Linked DNA regions of Schizosaccharomyces pombe. The gene in region 1 interacts genetically with each later gene. Each region holds a gene or a part of one and is shown in the gene's direction. Other genes may lie near its edges.

Region 1 (4,146 bases):
TTCAATCCTCCATGGAATTTATTTTCTGAAGCTGATGTCGATTTCGTACTCAGAAAAGAAGATAAAGAATTTGATCGTTTACGTAGAGTACTATGAGCATCGCGATCCCTTGATGATAGCATCTTAAAGAAATCCTGCTCCGATTTCTTCCTATTGCCAACATATGGGAGATCCAAAGCAGCATTATCTAAGGTTTTACTCCTCGTCTGAGCAACTGCGTTTTCTGAGCAATCGGGCAGGCAAAATGGACTTACTGCTCTGTTGGAGTCTCCTAAGTTGACCGATTCAGGCGACGTTACCATTTCACAATTCATTATGATATCTATTTAAGGATTTACACCGCCATTGGCTTTTTGATCATTATGTTGATATTTAAAAGTTCTTCGGTTTTTCGGTTTTCATTCAGCAACAATACGCCGTGTATGTGTCAATAAAGATAAGTGGATAGCACTCAAAATTGCATATGAGCATAGATTCAATCCACCACTTTAAATCAAGTAAGCCTGATATTATTATAGGGACAAAAATTAGTTGTTTTCGGAACTTTTACCTCTTATATCGTAGGAGCTTACATCCGAGACTTTTGTTAACGTTAGTGGCAAGCGCGCTTTGGTTTAATACGCAATTATGAATAAGAACGTGTTCAATCACAGAAAATCGATTATCGGAAACGCTGTGACTATCACTAAGATGAATTGCAAACAATCGAGTTCGAGAAAACCGTTGGGCTTTATTCAATTGATCTGCGTTTTTGTTCACTCATTAAAAGCCATTTCTCTGAGTATTACTATGAATGGTTTTTTTCTGTTTTATTTTACACTAAAGTGATGATAGAAAAATTAATTTATCAATTAGTAACTAAATATTCGATTGCTCATAAGGAACTCACTGTTCATGTTAACGAATGAAGTTTAATATCGTCGGAAATTAATAGCCTCTCAAACATTTATTTCTTATACTGGTTTATTTTGTTCCCGATTAAAAGTAATGTAGATAATTTTCTCGGAACGTTTCTAAGTTATAATGTGTTCAGTCAACATAGTCTAATGGCCTAGTTTAAACTCTCATCCAAATAATTCTGATAGAGCAAGAACTTGGTGCAATTAAACTAGTGCATATCGACAGTCATTTTTATTTTATCAAACCCTAATACTTACCATTTCAGTAACTTAGAAGGTAACCTCAAAGCATCAACACCTTGAGAATCGTTTGAAGCAGTACTTAGTTTATTGAAAAAATTTGGCAAGGTTAACTCCTAAAGGCGACTTCACAACCATTTATAGAGAAGAACGAAAAATTCCAGATTGCAAATAAGGTGTTCATAGTATTTGCAGGCTTGAAACAACATAAAATCGATTTGGTCTTTAATGGAAACAATCAGAACCTTATTTACAACATAGGAATGAAGAATTACAGTAGCTTAATAATATGTTAATGTTTTAAGAAGTTGTTGTGTATTGCTGGAATTCATGGAAATAGTGTTACTATCGCATTTTATTATTGCAATATATTGTTACACGTTAACTCAACTATTTTCTATTAATTACAGTAAGAATAAGGACCCGTTCATCATGACTATTGCTAGTATTTTTTTTTACAAAAAATCTTCAGTAAGGAGGATACTCGTTTTTTGGGTGGTAGTGTTTTGTTAATACGCTCCATGCATGTACTTGTTGACACGTCCAAAGCATTGTTGCTTAGATTTTTTGTTAATGGCTGAAATACAGACAGCTCAAAATCCTTTAAAGGAACTGGAGAAAATTTTAGAGAGGAATAATAAGCAAAAAAATAAAAAGAGCAGAAACCAAGTTCGTCGAGAGAAAAAAAAATTACTACGTGAAAAGACAAATTCTGGTGCTAAATTGGCAGAAAAAAATAGTGATGACAAGGACCAGTTGACTGAAAATAATGACAACCTATACAATGATAAAAAATCTAATGGAAACTTCTATGATACAAACAAAACTGATAGTGTTGACGGGATGGTCTATACTACAATCGTCGATTCTGTAGAATTAGATCCTAATGATCCGCTAATAGAGCAATTTAAAGATGTCTTTAATCGTTTCAAAGCTGATGGTCAAGAAAAAGATTTCGAAGATACCGACAAGGGCCAAATAATGTATTCTGACGATGAAATTTTGAGTGAAGGCGAAGAAGACGCTTTACAAAAACAACAGGAGGAAAAACTTAGTAAAAAGAAATTGAGAAAGTTAAAAAGGATGACTGTTGCTCAACTGAAGATGCTCTCCGAGAAAGCAGATGTCGTCGAATGGTGGGATGTTTCGTCGCTTGATCCTTTATTCCTCACACATCTAAAAGCATATCCTAATACTGTTCCTGTTCCCCGTCATTGGAACCAAAAAAGAGATTACTTGAGTGGCCAAAGAGGTATAGAACGTCAACTCTTCGAGTTACCCTCGTATATTCGTGCTACTGGCATAGTTCAAATGCGTAATGCTGTGCATGAAAATGAAGCTGATATGCCTTTGCGTCAAAAAATGCGTGAGCGTGTCCAACCAAAAATGGGAAAGCTTGACATTGATTATCAAAAGCTTCATGATGCCTTCTTTCGCTACCAAACAAAACCGGTGCTAACCGGTTTTGGCGAATGCTATTTTGAAGGAAAAGAATTAGAAGCTGATGTGAAAGAAAAGAGGCCCGGCGACATTTCGGAGGAGCTCCGTGAAGCCTTGGGAATTGCTCCAGGAGCACCTCCTCCTTGGTTATTTGCTATGCAGAGATACGGGCCTCCTCCAAGTTATCCAGATCTTAAAATTCCCGGTGTGAATTGTCCAATTCCGACTGGAGCGCAGTGGGGATTTCATCCTGGTGGTTGGGGAAAACCTCCTGTGGACCAATTTAATCGTCCTCTTTATGGCGACGTGTTTGGTAATGTCAAACCTCGAATACATGCTGGTACAGGTTCGCCTGTGAGCACTCAGCATTGGGGTGAATTGGAGGAGTTTGAGGAAGAAGAATCTAGTGAAGAGGAAGAGAGCGAAGACGTAGAATATCCTACTGAAGAAATTACTGAACGTGAAACGATTGAGGAATATCAGTCAGCGTCAGAGCCTAGGTCACAGAGGGAAGATTTGCATGCAGAGCCCTTAACGTATTTTAATCAATCTAATGTAGAGGTTGACAATGTTGAATTACGAAAAAATACTCAACCAAGTAGTGATGCTGCTAATCGAGACTTATATCAAGTTTTACCTGAAAAATCTACTAATATCTCAGGTTTCATGGGTCCTCAGCATCAATACGACATTCCTACCGCTGAAGATACTCTTCCACAAAAAAGGAATGCACATTCCATGCTCTCATCAACCAACAAAGGAGATGTTGCGTTAAATCAAAGTTCTAATTGGCAAGATGAGCTTTCGGAGTTGGTGTCTGAGCAGGCTATGAAGGTTGGTGCTGCGAAACGACAGAAAACACAAAGCAAGAGAGACAAGTTTCGTCTTTAAATTATTATCTACAGTGTACATTAGTTAATCTATATGACAGTATTATTGTTAAGCTCCATACATTATTCAAGTATTAATTATTATTTGTAAGTGAAAATAAAAAAAACCCCAATTTATACCCTAGCTAAAATATATTTTATATACTGTTTTTTTGAAGATGGAAGTCTTTGTGACTATATTTTTCCTTGATCTTTGCACGATACTTTGATTTCTTCAATACTGGCAAAGATGGAGGAACCATTGCTCTTTGTTGTAAACTTAAATAGCGATCGGCAAACAAATTTCCTTCAGGCTTCAGCTCTCTAAGGGAACTAGTCAGCTCATCTCCCAACTTTATTTCAAGTGGGTTGTTAGGCAATCGATGTTTACCGAATTTTTTCTTCTTCAGTTTGATTTCAGTTGTGCTAGAAGAAACAGCCTTATTAGAGAATTTCTCAGCTTTATCCTTTTGCTGCAGTTTTTTGGATATTGCAGGAGCTTTGTCGATCGTCCTCAGAAGCTCTTCATTTTTCTTTTGCTCAAGTAATCTAAGCTCCTCCTCTCTTCTTTGGCGTATCTTATTTCTTTGAGACCTGGTTTTTCGTTTGTTCTTCGAAGAAGGGATCGGAGTTTCTGCTTGTTCGTGTTCAGACTGGTCATCAGAATCAATGCTGTGATTAACGTCTTGGTCTGAAAC
Region 2 (4,968 bases), on another chromosome or scaffold:
ATCCCAATGTTTTTTAATGTAATTTTTGAAATACAATGAAGCGGCCAGCTTAATATTGATGTCTACTGTATCCTCAGCGACAATATTGAGGAGTTTTAGTGCAAAAGAACTATCTTGTAATTCCCATACTTTCAGTGCTTCCTCAGCTATATCAGTTAGTAAATTTGCTTTATCCACTCTGTTGGGGTATCTTACCACTTTTGGAAGTCGTAGGGTTTAATGTTCTCGCAAGAAGAGTTGGAATGTCATCCATAGTTTTCCTACAGGGATTGTGGTTAAGGGCAGATTTTGAAGGACACCGACGTAACTAGAACAATTTCTCTAACATCGTTATAGAGAATTTTTAATTCCGGTTTTATTTATTAAATAATTTTCTCTTAAGTTTGATATAGTTAACATCTTTTAATTAGTTTGTTTGCTTCTTTTTCAGGCTTGTTAATGTAATACTTTTCTTCGCTTAATTTTTGTTTTTTTTTCTATTAAAACACCCTAATATACCAATATTTGTAAATAAATAGTTGGACTATACTTGATAAATTACTTAAAAAAGGAATTAAAACTAATAAAATCTATAATTCATTATCAATAATTCAAGGGTTCACATTTTAATTATCAGCTTGTAAATACCTAATTTCCGAATTACTTGGTTTTAGTTTGCAAGCTCATTAAACATTTTATGAACCGTCAGAATAGAAATCGCTTTATACGTGGACTTGAAAGTTGTGTTAGTTGACTTTTGTTTCAAATCTAATTCTTGTTTATGCCATCAAATTCTACATGTGCAATATAGCATCTCCATCTTTATCTCAAATACTACAAACCTTTTTTTATTGTAGTATTTAGTTTTTTTCCTTCTTGAATCGGATATTCCTTTTGCGAGTTGACTTGAAACCATAGATTTGCAAAAGTAAATAATTAAGTCATAAACATATATATTTTACACGTACAAGCCCTTGTCCATAGAGTTCAACAACCTAAATCCAATTGCTTGATAATAGAAATTACCATATTCTACTATCTTGTTTCATTCATCAATAGGTTTACACATATGAAAGCACGTTTATAGAAAACAATGAAATTTATAAAATGACATTGCGTCGAGTCTTATGTAGCCAGAAAGAAAGAAGGAAAAATAATGAATAAAAAATAAAAAAAAGGTTAGACCAGATAAATTTGAATTAATGTGTCAATTTTGATTGCTCCTTTCAAAAAAAAAAAAAAAAAAAAAAGAAAGAAAAGGAGGATAACGGGATCTCGAATATGTTAACTCATATGCTTTTACTATTTTAAAAAAAAAAAAAATAATTTATTAAAAAAATATCTGTTTCCGCAAGAAGAAGATGTTGTACTCGTGATTGTTTACAGTTTCGCCAAGTCTACTAACAGAGCAAGTTAATAAATATTGTTTCTATTACAAGAGGAATAAGATATTATTTTGTTTTTAAAATTTTAGATACCTGACTAATCGATAAATGCTTCCCAATGCTAACAATTGTCATTGACTTGGAAATAAGAGACACTGCAAAGGCAAGAAATCACGTTTGCGAGATTTAAAGGAATGAGTGTAAAGATTTTTTAGGAATTTAAGCATTTTCTGAAACACACAGATTAGGTTCTTAAAGGCAGCACTAAACAACTCGTTATATGCACTTCGTCTGCTTTTCAAGCACTTTCAGCTGCCAAGCGCCTTAGACGTTAATATATTGAAACGTGTATTTTAAGGTCCCTTTACTCTTTGTTTGATTTAGTATGAGGAATCATGAATAATCAAGGGTTTGTTCCTGCGAGTGATTATCCAACCGCAGTATCATATCCCACGCAAGGTCAAAGTTATAATACTCAGGAAGAACAACCTGCGTATCCTCAACGCTTTTCGACAAGCCAAGGGATGTATGCAGCAGAATATGGAAATGCAAACATGATGAATACTTCCGAGAATGAGCCTAACAATTTGGCTCATTCACAGCCCTTCCGACAATCTCCATCAACTCAACGTAATTTGCCAAATCAATCATTTGATTTCGCCTCTAACGGTGCATGGAATGGCTCTGGATCTGTGAAATACTCTAGTCCCATGATGCCTTCAAGTCGGATCCCGTTTCAACAAGAAAAAGAGGCTGCAATGCAGCAGCAACAACAACAGCAACAGCAGCAACAACTTTATCAACGACAAATGCAAAGCAGAGAGGCCTTACTCTCTCAACAAATTCCTCCTAATCAAATTGGCATCAATGCCCACCCAGCTGTAAGACAAACTCCTCAACCTGCACCTTCCCCAAATACTCCCTCTGGTAATGCTAATCAACTAACGCCTGCTTATGCTGCTAGTTTTGACAAATTCATGGTTAGCCTTATTTCTTTTATGGAAAAGCGGGGGACGCCAATCAAATCTTATCCTCAAATAAATAATACGCCTATTAATTTAATGATGCTGTACGCCTTGGTTATGCGTGCCGGTGGATCTCGACAAGTCTCAGCTCATAATTTTTGGCCAAAAATTTCTGCTTCCTTGGGGTTTCCATCTCCTGATGCTATTTCCCTTCTAATTCAATATTACAATTCCTATCTGCTTCCATATGAAGAAGCATGGCTTGCTGCTCAACAGCAACAAAAATCACTTCAACAAGCAAAAGCTAATCATTCTGCGAATGTTCAAAGCAGACCAAAAAACTATCCACAAAAGCCGGTCCAAACCACCCCAGAAGCTGTACATGCCAATGGTTCTATGCATGGATCACTTCACTCAAAGTCACCCTCCCCAGCATTCACCGCTAATCGTTTCTCTCCAGCTGCTCCTACCACAGTTAGTTCTGAAAGAAATGCTCCACCATACCCTTCTGCTCCGACTCGACCCACTCCGCCCACCGTTCAAACTTCTTCTTCGGCAGCTCCTGTTGATTCTGCCGAACCCGTTGCTTATCAACCGATAAAAAAGCCCATCGATCCTATGTTGGGTTATCCCTTGAATGTCGCGGCCACGTATAGGCTCGATGAATCTTTGCTTCGGCTTCAGATGCCTTCAATCGTAGATCTGGGGACTGTAAACATTCAAGCCTTGTGCATGAGCCTGCAATCTACTTTGGAAAAAGAAATAACGTATGCAATGAACGTTTTACTTATATTAACAAATGATCAAAAATGGATGTTTCCGTTAAGTGAGTGCCAGGATGTAGTTGATGCGTTGATTGACGTTGCAACTCAGTGCCTTGATAATCTGCTATCTGTTCTTCCTAATGAGGATTTAATGGAAATCGCCGATAAACGTCCTTCTTATAGACAACTTCTTTACAATTGTTGCGTAGAGATATCGCAGTTCTCCAGAGAAGACTTTTCAAATTCACTAAGCGAAAACAAAACAAAAGATAGCATCAATGCTATTGATGTTCATAATTCGGAGCAAAATTTGTTAGCTGTTTTCGTTATTTTTAGAAATCTCTCTCACTTTGAGGCCAACCAAAACGTTTTGGTACAAAATCCAGATTTTTTTCCTCTACTCATTCGTGTAGTCAAAAGTCTTAATTTTCATGCCACTTCCCTTCTACGTTCATCAAGAAATACCTTGGATTTGCATAAAGATGTATTAATCGTACTTTGTCAACTTTCTCAAAATTTCATTCTACCGAATGTCGACGTTGCTCGTCACGTTTTACTATTTATTTTGTCTTTTTCTCCATTTAACAGAAAGAAGAGTAAAACTATTTTAAATGACACCCTTCCAACCTCTATACCTAGTTACACACCTGCTACCCATCCCTATGCTGGTCCCGCCATTAATGCCTATGCCAAATTACTAGCCAAAGATGCTAACAACAAGACAAACTTTCAAGCTATTTTTGATAACAATCCAAAATTTTTAGACTCCCTTTTTCTACTTCTTGCTTCTGTTGTCCCAAAATTTAACCGCCACTGCCTTAAAATATGCGAGCGAAGGTTACCCTTATTGCAGCAGTCATTTTTTTGTTTAGCAGCTACCGTTTCCTATGTTAAACAATCGGAACAAGCGGCAAATTGGTGTAATATAGGCGAGGGATTTTTTGTTTCCATGTTACGCCTACTCATACTATTATCAGGTCATCCTTCCCTTAATCCACCATCACGTGTAGCATCGCAGTATCCTACTACGAATCCTTTTCGTTATGTGATTCAGAGTGGCATATCTACGGTGCGTCGACTTTTGAGCTTAGTGGAAGCTGGAAATATTTCATTATCTTCTTTCCCCAAAAGTGAAACTCTCCTCGCTGTTTTGCTGGCTCCTACAACAGAAACCTCGTTTCTAAAAGAGATCTCAAATTTATTGGATCGAACTGGGGACAGTGATGCGTCTTTAGAAAATACGGATGATAAATCTGGCATTTAATTTGTAGATAATTTTCCAAACGTTTAATATTTTTGTCTTCATTCTAGTTAATCTGATGCGTTTCTGTATGTATATTGTCTAAACATGCTTTCAAATTTTTAGAGATGATTTATTTACTTTATAGAAAGACTACTTAACCTATGTAGAGTTAATTGCCATTCTACGCATTGCAACAATTTTATTAAGAGTATTTTCAAGCAATTCTAAATAGACTGAATTCAATAAATCAACCAGACTACAATTTCCATCACAACAAGAAAAAGTTTAACTACTCTATATTGGAGAACATGATAATCAACCTTTATCACCACTACAACTACAAGCCAAACACAACACAAAAAAATTTAATTAAAAAAAAAAAAAGGAAAAATTTGCAAGATCAACATCAGACATCCAAAGGAAGGACTATGCACGACATCTGCGGCAAAATTGGGTTCGTATGCCGCTCCGGGGAAACTGCGAATGTTCAATGGAAATTTCATCACCTGTTGATCAATGCAAAAAAAAACCTTCGCCGAACAATCCAAAAAGCAATACAGCACTATATATGTTTATAACTAAAAGGATGTAAAGTCCAATCTCCACCATAACTCGTACGTACAGGAGTAGCT
Region 3 (6,416 bases), 4.7 Mb from region 1:
CTGTAAATCCTATACGTTTGGCAATTTTTTCAACTACCTCTTCATGAAGAGGATATGTATAAGAATGCATAAGACTGACAGAAATGGAGCGAAACCCTTCATTGTATAATTCCTTTAGATCTTGATATAACGCTTCTTCATCCAATTTCTTTTCCACTCGCAAAAATTCTCCTGTAATTCCTTGAACAATACCAGCTGTCTTTGAGAATTGGTTTTCTAAGACAACTCTCTCTTTTGCTTCTATGACACGTTGATATAATGGTGAAGGCCTTGATACTGTGAGGTCGAATAAGTCCGGGCGAGCTTGATTTCCGATTTCTACCAAATTTCGAAAACCTTCCGTGATTATGAAGGCGGTTTTTTCACCCTTACGTTCTAACAAAGCATTCGTCGCAACAGTTGTACCCATACGTATAGAGGATACTCTTGTCAAGTCTAAAGGGACTTTACGAGGTATTTCTTCGCCGGACGCATAACACAACACTCTTCTAATTCCTTCAGTTGGAGCATCGTCGTATAATTTAGGGTTTACAGAAAGCAACTTGAAAATCCCTTCTTGCTCCCTCCATCCAGATATCTTATAGTAAACATCGGTGAAGGTTCCACCCCTATCAATCGCAATTCGCACATCTTGTTTCATTATAAAAAAATTAAAAGGTTATTCTTAACTTAAAGAATGAATGAATAACTACAGCATGCTAATTGCGAACTTTTATACCTCTAGTCAACGTTCCAATCAGTCAAGATAAGTAAAACGAGCTCCTCCTTGACCGAGACATTGAACGTCCAAAAAATTATACCAAGATGGGGGATTCCATAGTCGTAAGGAATGATTCTTATCATTTAAAGATTTAGTGCTCTCCATTTAGATTTTTAACCGAAGCGATCAAACTAATAATTCGTGTATGTACATTTTTGCATTGTGGAATAAACTGCCCCAAGAAAAAGATTTACGAGTGCATCCCTCATGTGAGAGTTTGTAGTTAACTCTAATCAAAGCAAGAAATAATAAGTACAGTTCAATTAATCTAAAGAAACATGTGCACAAAGTACCTACTAAAGAACAGATAACAATCTTACAAACCATTTTACGAAATAAATTTCGCAAAAAAGATCAAAATGAATAATAATTCAAGCAAATTAAATTAAATTAACATCATTACCAATAAATTATTAATTTTTACTAGTAAAGAGTGTATTTTGACATTAATTTTACTGATTTCGCATATTTGGTTCTATCTACGATATCAATAGTACCAAGCAAGTAGATAGGGAGTCCTTGAATAGCCAAACAGCAGATCTTAAACATCATGAAATACTTAGGACTACAAGTGTTGAGATACTTATGATTGCGATAAATACAATTCTTTATCGATAATCAATTTAGGAACGGACAGGAAAGTTGCAAATTAGCAAATTTTTAAAGCTTTATTATAATAATTAATTGTCAAGATCTTTATTTTGCAAACTGTTAACAATGATACCCAATACATAAAATATGTAGGATTTCTGTAGTATACTTCCATATTGACCAGCTCAAAACTTTCTAATTAGACGCATGTTGAATATCAATTTAATGATTCATCGATAATTCAGATACTCTAATAATTGCATGACCATATCAGCAGGCTTCGATACTGCTCCTCCACTCCGCCGAACTCCACAAATGAATACGGAGCTCCGCCAACTTTCAGTCTGATAAGGAGGCAATCTTTGCTACACAATATTGTGATGATTTAATAATTTATGTATATATATGGATATCATTCTTGCCTAATTCATTAACTTGTGCTGTTTTTTATTTTTTGCTTTCTTTTTCTACCTACATATACATACACATAGATTTAATACACATTTTGGATTTAAAAAATGAGTGTCAAAATTCACATTGATCGAGGTGGTACTTTTACAGACGCAATCGCCACTTTTGCTGATGAATCTCGCCCTCCTATTGTCATCAAATTACTTTCAGAGGATCCTAGTAACTATAAGGACGCTTCTATCGAAGCTGTCCGACGCATTTTAGAGATTGTTCAAGGAAAATCGATCCCACGAACCGAAAAATTAGATACCAGTTGCATTAATCATTTACGGTGTGGTACTACAGTTGCTACCAATGCTTTATTGGAACGAAAAGGTGAACGATGCGCTTTTATAACGACTAAAGGATTTAAAGATGGTCTGTTAATTGGCAACCAATCTAGACCTAATATTTTCGAGTTGGGAATTCGAAGACCTGAAGTATTGTACTCTAAAGTTATCGAAGTTGACGAGCGTGTAACACTAGAAGATTATGTTGAAGACCCAATGAAAGTCAAAACCACAATTGACGGCTCTGACCCGTCACTAGTAGTTGGCCGTTCTGGTGAAGTCGTTCGTATTATGAAAAAGGTAGATTGCGATGCACTTCGCAAAGATTTGCAAGCATTGTACGATGAAGGATTTACCAGTATCGCCGTTTGCCTTGCCCACAGCTTTACATTTCCAGATCATGAACTTCTTGTTGGTAAAATTGCTGAAGAGGTTGGTTTCAGCAATATCAGTCTTTCAACTAAATTAATGCCGATGATTAAATATGTTCCTCGTGCTACTTCAGCTACCGCTGATGCTTACCTTTCTCCAGTTGTTAGAAGATACCTTGCCGGGTTTCAATCAGGATTCCTTCATGGTTTAAAGACAAAGGATAATTCAAAGGGTGTGCGTTGTGAGTTCATGCAGAGTGACGGTGGTTTGGTTGACGTTAATAAGTTTTCAGGCTTACATGCCATTCTCTCCGGTCCTGCTGGCGGTGTCGTAGGTTTTGCACTTACCTCATATGACGAGGACGTTAAAATTCCTGTCATCGGATTCGATATGGGAGGTACATCTACGGATGTTTCTCGGTATGGTGGTTCATATGAACATGTCTTTGAAACGACAACGGCAGGAGTTACTATTCAATCTCCTCAATTAGATATAAATACGGTAGCCGCTGGCGGTGGATCACGTCTTTTTTGGAAAAATGGCCTTTTTGTTGTTGGACCAGAAAGTGCTGGTGCACATCCTGGCCCAGTATGCTATCGCAAGGGAGGGTACTTGACTGTTACAGATGCAAATTTACTGTTAGGAAGACTTTTACCTGAGTCTTTCCCTAAAATTTTTGGTCCTAATGAGGATGAATCACTAGACGTCGAGTCGACGAGAAAGGAGTTTGAAAAATTGACTGCTGAGATCAATTCTGGCCTTGAGAAAGAACGTCAAATGACTGCCGATGAAGTTGCTTTTGGCTTCATTAAGATAGCGAACGAAACTATGGCTCGCCCAATTCGCGCCCTTACTGAAGCTAAAGGACACGATATCTCCATTCATCGTTTGACTTCTTTTGGTGGTGCTGGTGGACAACACTGTGCAGCTATTGCCAAATCTCTCGGTATTACCCAGGTTTTAGTTCACAAGTATAGTTCAATTCTTTCAGCTTATGGAATGGCACTAGCTGATGTCGTGTCTGAAGTTCAAGAGCCTTCCTCCTTTACTCTGGATGACTCAAATACTGAATCTATTAAGAAGCGTTTTGATAGCCTTAAAGAAGAAGCGAAAGCTAACCTTGAGGAGCAGGGATTTACCGAAAGCCAAATTAGCTATGAGTTATTTTTGAATTGTCGGTATCAAGGAACTGACAGCACTTTGATGATTAGCAAGCCTCTTGAGTCTTGGGATTTCAAGCAATCATTTTTTGATAAACATAAGCAGGAGTTCGGTTTTATTTTTGAAAATAAAGATATAATTATTGATGATATCAGAATTCGTGCTTCCGGAAAAAGTTTCCAGAGCAAAGAGCCCAGTGTAGATGCTCAATTAAAAGAATTGAAGTTCGAACCTGTTCAAAAGAGCCTAGCAACATGTGTCAAGGACATTTATTTCGAAGGTGGACGTGTCCCTTCTGAAGTTTATAGCCTAGATAACTTGCCTGTTGGAACAATAGTGAATGGCCCTTCTTTGATAGTCGACAAAACGCAAACCATTGTTGTTCCTCCCAAAGCTGTTGCTAGAATTTTGCATACACACGTTGTAATTGACATTTCTCATGGAAATGAATATACGGCAAACGATTCTCTCGCTAAAGCAAGTACAATTGATCCTATTTACCTTTCTGTATTTGGATCTCGGTTTATGGCTGTAGCTGAACAAATGGGAAGGGCTCTTCAGAAAACGAGTGTCTCCACTAATGTTAAAGAGCGTCTTGATTATTCGTGTGCACTATTCGATGCGAAAGGAAATCTTGTAGCTAACGCACCTCATATGCCGGTTCATCTAGGTTCTATGTCTACTTGTGTCCGCACACAAGCAAAAATTCACGAAGGGAAACTAAAACCTGGTGATGTTCTTGTTACCAATCATCCATCATATGGTGGTACTCATTTGCCTGATATCACTACTATTACTCCTCATTTCGAAGGGGACGAGATCATGTTTTACGTTGCTGCGCGTGCCCATCACGCTGACATCGGTGGTATTCTACCTGGTAGCATGCCTTCTTCTAGTAAAGAGCTTTCTGAAGAAGGAGCAACTATTAAGAGCGAAAAACTTGTGGTTGATGGAGTTTTTCAGGAAGAACGCATGATTGATTTACTCTACAATGAACCGGCAAAAGTGGAGGGTGGTTCAGGCAGTCGCTGTCTTCGCGATAACCTAAATGATTTGAAGGCTCAAGTTTCCGCAAACCAAAAGGGAATCAATTTAATTACATCTTTAATCAAGGAGTACGGAAAAAATTCTGTTTTACGTTATATGAAGGCAATTCAAGAAAATGCGGAAAGCGCCGTTAGACAATTATTGCTTGGAGTACGTGAAAGATTTTTAGGTGAGGATTTATACGCTGAGGATCATATGGACGATGGGTCAAAGATATGCTTACGCATCACTATTGATGAAGAAAACGGCGATGCCATATTTGATTTTACTGGTACAACTGAAGAAATCTATGGAAATATTAACGCCCCGGAGGCAGTAACTTATAGCGCCATCATTTATTGTTTACGTGTTTTGATATCTGAAAATATCCCACTTAATCAAGGATGTCTGCTTCCAATTAAAGTTATCATTCCTGATAACTGCTTTTTGAAACCCTCTGAAACAGCTGCTGTAGTAGGTGGAAATGTGCTAACGTCGCAAAGAATCACTGATACTATTCTCAAGGCATTCCAAGCATGTGCAGCTAGTCAGGGTGACACAAACAATTTGACATTTGGAATTGGCGGTAAAGATCCAGAGACCGGTGAAGTGAAACCAGGATTTGGATACTATGAGACTATTTGCGGTGGATCTGGTGCAATTGATGGATTAGACGGAACTTCTGGTGTTCATACTCATATGACTAACACCCGAATTACTGATTTGGAGGTACTTGAAAGAAGATACCCTGTCATTTTGAGAAAGTTTATCATTCGTGAAAATTCTGGCGGCGCAGGAAAGTACAAAGGTGGTGATGGTGTTATTCGCGATATTGAATTCAGAATTCCAGTTACCCTTTCCATACTTTCAGAGCGTCGTGCCTATCATCCATACGGTATGAAAGGAGGTAAAGATGCCGAATGCGGTAAAAACATTTGGATTCGAAAGGATATCTTACCTTCAGGAGAGCAACGAGTTCGACAAATCAACGTTGGCGGTAAAAACACATGCCATATGCAAGCTGGTGACCATATTGTTATTATGACACCTGGCGGTGGTGGATATGGACCCCCTTCTGAACGAGTAGATACTGTCAAGAAAGCTAATGGTGTCCAGCATTTCAGGGCTAATGGCACCATCTCACAATTACAGGAAATACAGCACACGAATTAGTTAGATAATTTATTAATGGTAATATAAATAGTTTGTCTTTTACATCTTAATTTCTTACTAATAACAAAGTTTTTAAAAATATTTGTATATAGTTGTCGAATATACTACAAGTGTTGGTGACAACAACAGGATAAAGTTCAATAATATATAATATTCTTGAATACTAAATCATTTGTAGAAAATGTATATAATTGTAATTAAAAAGCCGTATAGATTAAGATAGGATATATGAACGCGTTTCCAAAATTTGTGAAATAGTGAAATATAAAAATAAATGAGTAAATATTTAATGTAATAGGAAAAAAAAAACTGGAATGGACTGCTAAAGCATTAAGAACATAAAAATTAGGATGCATGCGAGGAATAGGATGAGCTTTCAACAACTCTAACAAAAAAGAGTAAAGTTGGGAAAAAAAGGGTAAAATCATCTGCGCTCGAAAAAAAAAGAAGCAATCCTACGAAGGCAATCACTTAAAAGAAAGCGAACTGGAACGTAAGAGAAACCTTTCATTTCAGCAATTCAATCTGATTGGAATGTTACATTTCCGAAAGCTCTCACAGATGGAGATTTAACATCCACAGGAAAGCAAGAA
Region 4 (2,907 bases), on another chromosome or scaffold:
CAAATGATGGGTTTATGATTTTGGTGATTGGTCGCTGCTCTGCTGAGATTCGAGGAAGTCTGGGAATGCTAGTTAAGGCAGTTGGTCAGAAAGGAAAGCATGGAACTGTGTCGTACACGGTTTGTGAATGCTATGAAGTTCTTGGACTCCTCATTCGATATCTATGTGAAAATTGTGACGTTCTTGCCCAAAGAATTGAGCCTGATAAATTTTTCCAACTTCAGCGATCGCTTACTGAGTTGTTTAGCGATACGATGGATTTTCTTCGTGATGCATGGGATAACAATAAAAACCGTGACAATTTAGCATCACATGTAACTGTAATCAGTGCTGTGGCTACCTTGTGTTTGTGGTTGACCGAAGATGACAGCCAATATGCACAAGCCTCTGGTCTTATGGACATATTTGTATATCTGTGGAGGCATAGCTGGTCGAATGGAATTGATTATGCTAAATGGATTAGCGTTGCTCTCCCTTCCATGCTGAGCAACAAGGTTTTCTTTAAAGCTTTTAAAGATTTTGATGCATGGAAAGTTGTTTATGACGATTTTATCAAGTGTAACGATGATTTAAAAGGCGACAAGTCTTTTAACGATTATATACTATCTACGAACGAAGAAGATGGGGAGGATGAACGACTTGCTCAAGCTATTCAAGATTTTCACATTCTCATTCAACTTAACTCTCTTGTTCCACAGTCAATTTGGAATGATGATATTTGGCAAGAGCCATATTGGAAGAATTTGCTTGAATCCAATTTTTAAAAAAGTTTTTGCTTTTAAAACAAATGCCCGCTTTAATATCTCCCCATAATTATTATTTTTCGTTCTTTTTAAGTTTTCTTTTTTTTTGGTCGAAAAAAACATGTCGATTTTTATTTGACAATTATTTAAGTGAAACTCTGCTTCTTTGTCTTTGTTTATTATTTTATTTGATTAATAACTTAATTTCTTGGGTACTTGAAGGGATCTTTAATTTAATACTTGGATTGTGTATCCGGGTTCTTATTATTGCCGTTGTTTTTAAACAATTTCTATGTGCTTTTGTTCATGAAATATTAACTCCTCTATCTTAGACTGGTTTATATTACCAAAAAATATACGTCTAAAACCTCTTTGACCCCTTCTCTTTTTTCTAATTTTCCTCCTCGCCCCTCTTTATTTAATTTCAGCCCACTCATAAATGTCTGTATTGTTTCAATTCAATGCTAGAAGCAAGGTGAAACCCTTGTATTTTTTATTATCTTTTTATCATTTCTGTTTGTTTTTATTTCGTTGTTGAACATTATTTGGTTTCAATTTTCTTTCAGAAGGTTCTTTCTGTTTTATTTCGCTTTTTCCCTTCTGAAAATTATTTTGCCAATGAGACACTGCTTTATTACTTGAAATTTTCTGTGCAACCGGAGCCTGGTTCTGCTGGAAGTATTCGTTTATGACAGTGCATTTATAAAACGAATGACAGATTTACTCTGAATCAGTGGCTGACAATATCATTTTTGAACTTATCCGAAGTAAATTCATGATTCTTTGTTATGAAATGATCATAAATCGTTTTTGAAATATTTGTTCACATGTATGATGTACCTTTGTTTATTGAAATTTGACTTTCGTATTGTAAATGTGAGACATGATCCATTCTTTTTCTACCCAAAAGAAGCAAAAATGTAATATGAATGGATAAGAGAAGTCAGCCAAAAAAGGATTAGCTTTATATTAGACATTTGTTTTTCACTAGCAATACCCAGCTGATGGGTAAGAAAACTAGATAACGGTTTCGGTTCGTATCGTTATAAACCCTTGGTTGCGTAATGTAGTAGGCAATCTTCTATAACGAAGTAAGCAGTTTTTCGTTAAATACAATACAGATTTTAAGCAAACTAGCTTTGCATTCTTCACCAGAAACTGAGAACGTGAAGCTTTCGGGAATGGATCCACAGGTAGGAGGTTTATTACCTATTTGTAATTATTTATTGACCGCGTAGGTGGTAAATTTGCTTCAAGAAACTGAAGGTGTGTACCGATTTTTGTCTGACGACTTTTTGCTAATGAACTCGACGTATAGAGGACGTGTATCGGCGTAAAACCGCAAGGATTCGAAGAAAAGTCTCGGAAATTGAAAAGGAATGCGAAATGTATGCTGTGAAAATTTACAACGTTGAAAGAGACATTCAGCGGTATCGCCATGAAGCGCAATTGCTATCTAAAGTGCTCGAGAAAAAAGGGTTAAATAAAGAAAAGGAAGCTGGTGAGACATAATACTTGTTTTAGGCAGGCGCTTGATGTTTTTATTTTTAAGTCTTCATTCGTTTTAAAATCACTTTGCCGGCCATTGATCTATAATCGTTAACATGCTTTTTTTTGACTAAGTATATGAAGTATGTAATGATTGATGGTAAAAATTGGACTCTGCAACCGAAGAAAAAAAACCTTATGTAATTTTTTGAAAAGTCATACTTTGTGCCGAAATCAATACAATATCTACGTACTATGGCTGTTGTTGTCCTTTTTTGTGTAACCCATTTCAACGTTCTTTTATGTGGGAAATCAACTAGGAATCTTCAAAGAAGAGAAAAAAAGAGCTTTATCTTCTATTAAGTAGGATTATTATAGAAGACTACCGTGTAATGTCAATAAATCATGAACTAACCGAAACTAAAAAAAAACTAAAGGAAAAAGCCGAAACATATGCGTAATCAACTCGATAAATATGGTTTAATTTTTTTGCCCTTTCCCATTTCTTCAATTATGTAAACATAATGTAAAAAGAGGAAAGATTCTTCGGTTGTTATTGAAACAGCTTCCAATCCACCTATGTAGAATAATGTGTTAGCAAACAGTAAAATAAATTTGTTGGAATTGTTGATTACTAAACGGAAGTCATTCAATTTGAAACCATCGGCCAAACGTA

Evidence for each region.
Region 2: mutations in sap145 (region 1) and sol1 together harm fitness more than expected from each alone (negative genetic interaction), as found in Schizosaccharomyces pombe (one large-scale study listed by BioGRID).
Region 3: mutations in sap145 (region 1) and SPOM_SPAC11D3.15 together harm fitness more than expected from each alone (negative genetic interaction), as found in Schizosaccharomyces pombe (one large-scale study listed by BioGRID).
Region 4: mutations in sap145 (region 1) and hap2 together harm fitness more than expected from each alone (negative genetic interaction), as found in Schizosaccharomyces pombe (one large-scale study listed by BioGRID).

The regions. Positions count from the first base shown.
Region 1 is NC_003424.3:4,803,954-4,808,099, reverse strand, and holds sap145 (putative U2 snRNP-associated protein Sap145), read left to right. Parts: upstream 1-1,680; 5' UTR 1,681-1,712; coding exon 1,713-3,470; 3' UTR 3,471-3,587; downstream 3,588-4,146. Other genes in the region: phosphoinositide phospholipase C Plc1, read right to left, coding at 1-314; rRNA processing protein Rrp16, read right to left, coding at 3,607-4,146. UniProt on the Schizosaccharomyces pombe protein: Involved in pre-mRNA splicing. May be involved in endoplasmic reticulum-associated protein degradation (ERAD) and required for growth at low and high temperatures.
Region 2 is NC_003423.3:1,308,516-1,313,483, reverse strand, and holds sol1 (SWI/SNF complex subunit Sol1), read left to right. Parts: upstream 1-1,681; 5' UTR 1,682-1,759; coding exon 1,760-4,357; 3' UTR 4,358-4,412; downstream 4,413-4,968. Other genes in the region: karyopherin/importin beta family nuclear export signal receptor Kap109, read right to left, coding at 1-146, 196-253.
Region 3 is NC_003424.3:134,462-140,877, forward strand, and holds SPOM_SPAC11D3.15 (ATP-hydrolizing 5-oxoprolinase), read left to right. Parts: upstream 1-1,783; 5' UTR 1,784-1,869; coding exon 1,870-5,823; 3' UTR 5,824-5,904; downstream 5,905-6,416. Other genes in the region: SPOM_SPAC11D3.14C (oxoprolinase), read right to left, coding at 1-640; SPOM_SPAC11D3.16C (uncharacterized protein), read right to left, coding at 6,344-6,416.
Region 4 is NC_003421.2:660,199-663,105, reverse strand, and holds hap2 (Ino80 complex subunit), read left to right. Parts: upstream 1-1,896; 5' UTR 1,897-1,924; coding exon 1,925-1,936; intron 1,937-1,981; coding exon 1,982-2,009; intron 2,010-2,061; coding exon 2,062-2,255; 3' UTR 2,256-2,366; downstream 2,367-2,907. Other genes in the region: protein asi1, read left to right, coding at 1-764; sif2 (Sad1-interacting factor 2), read right to left, coding at 2,785-2,808.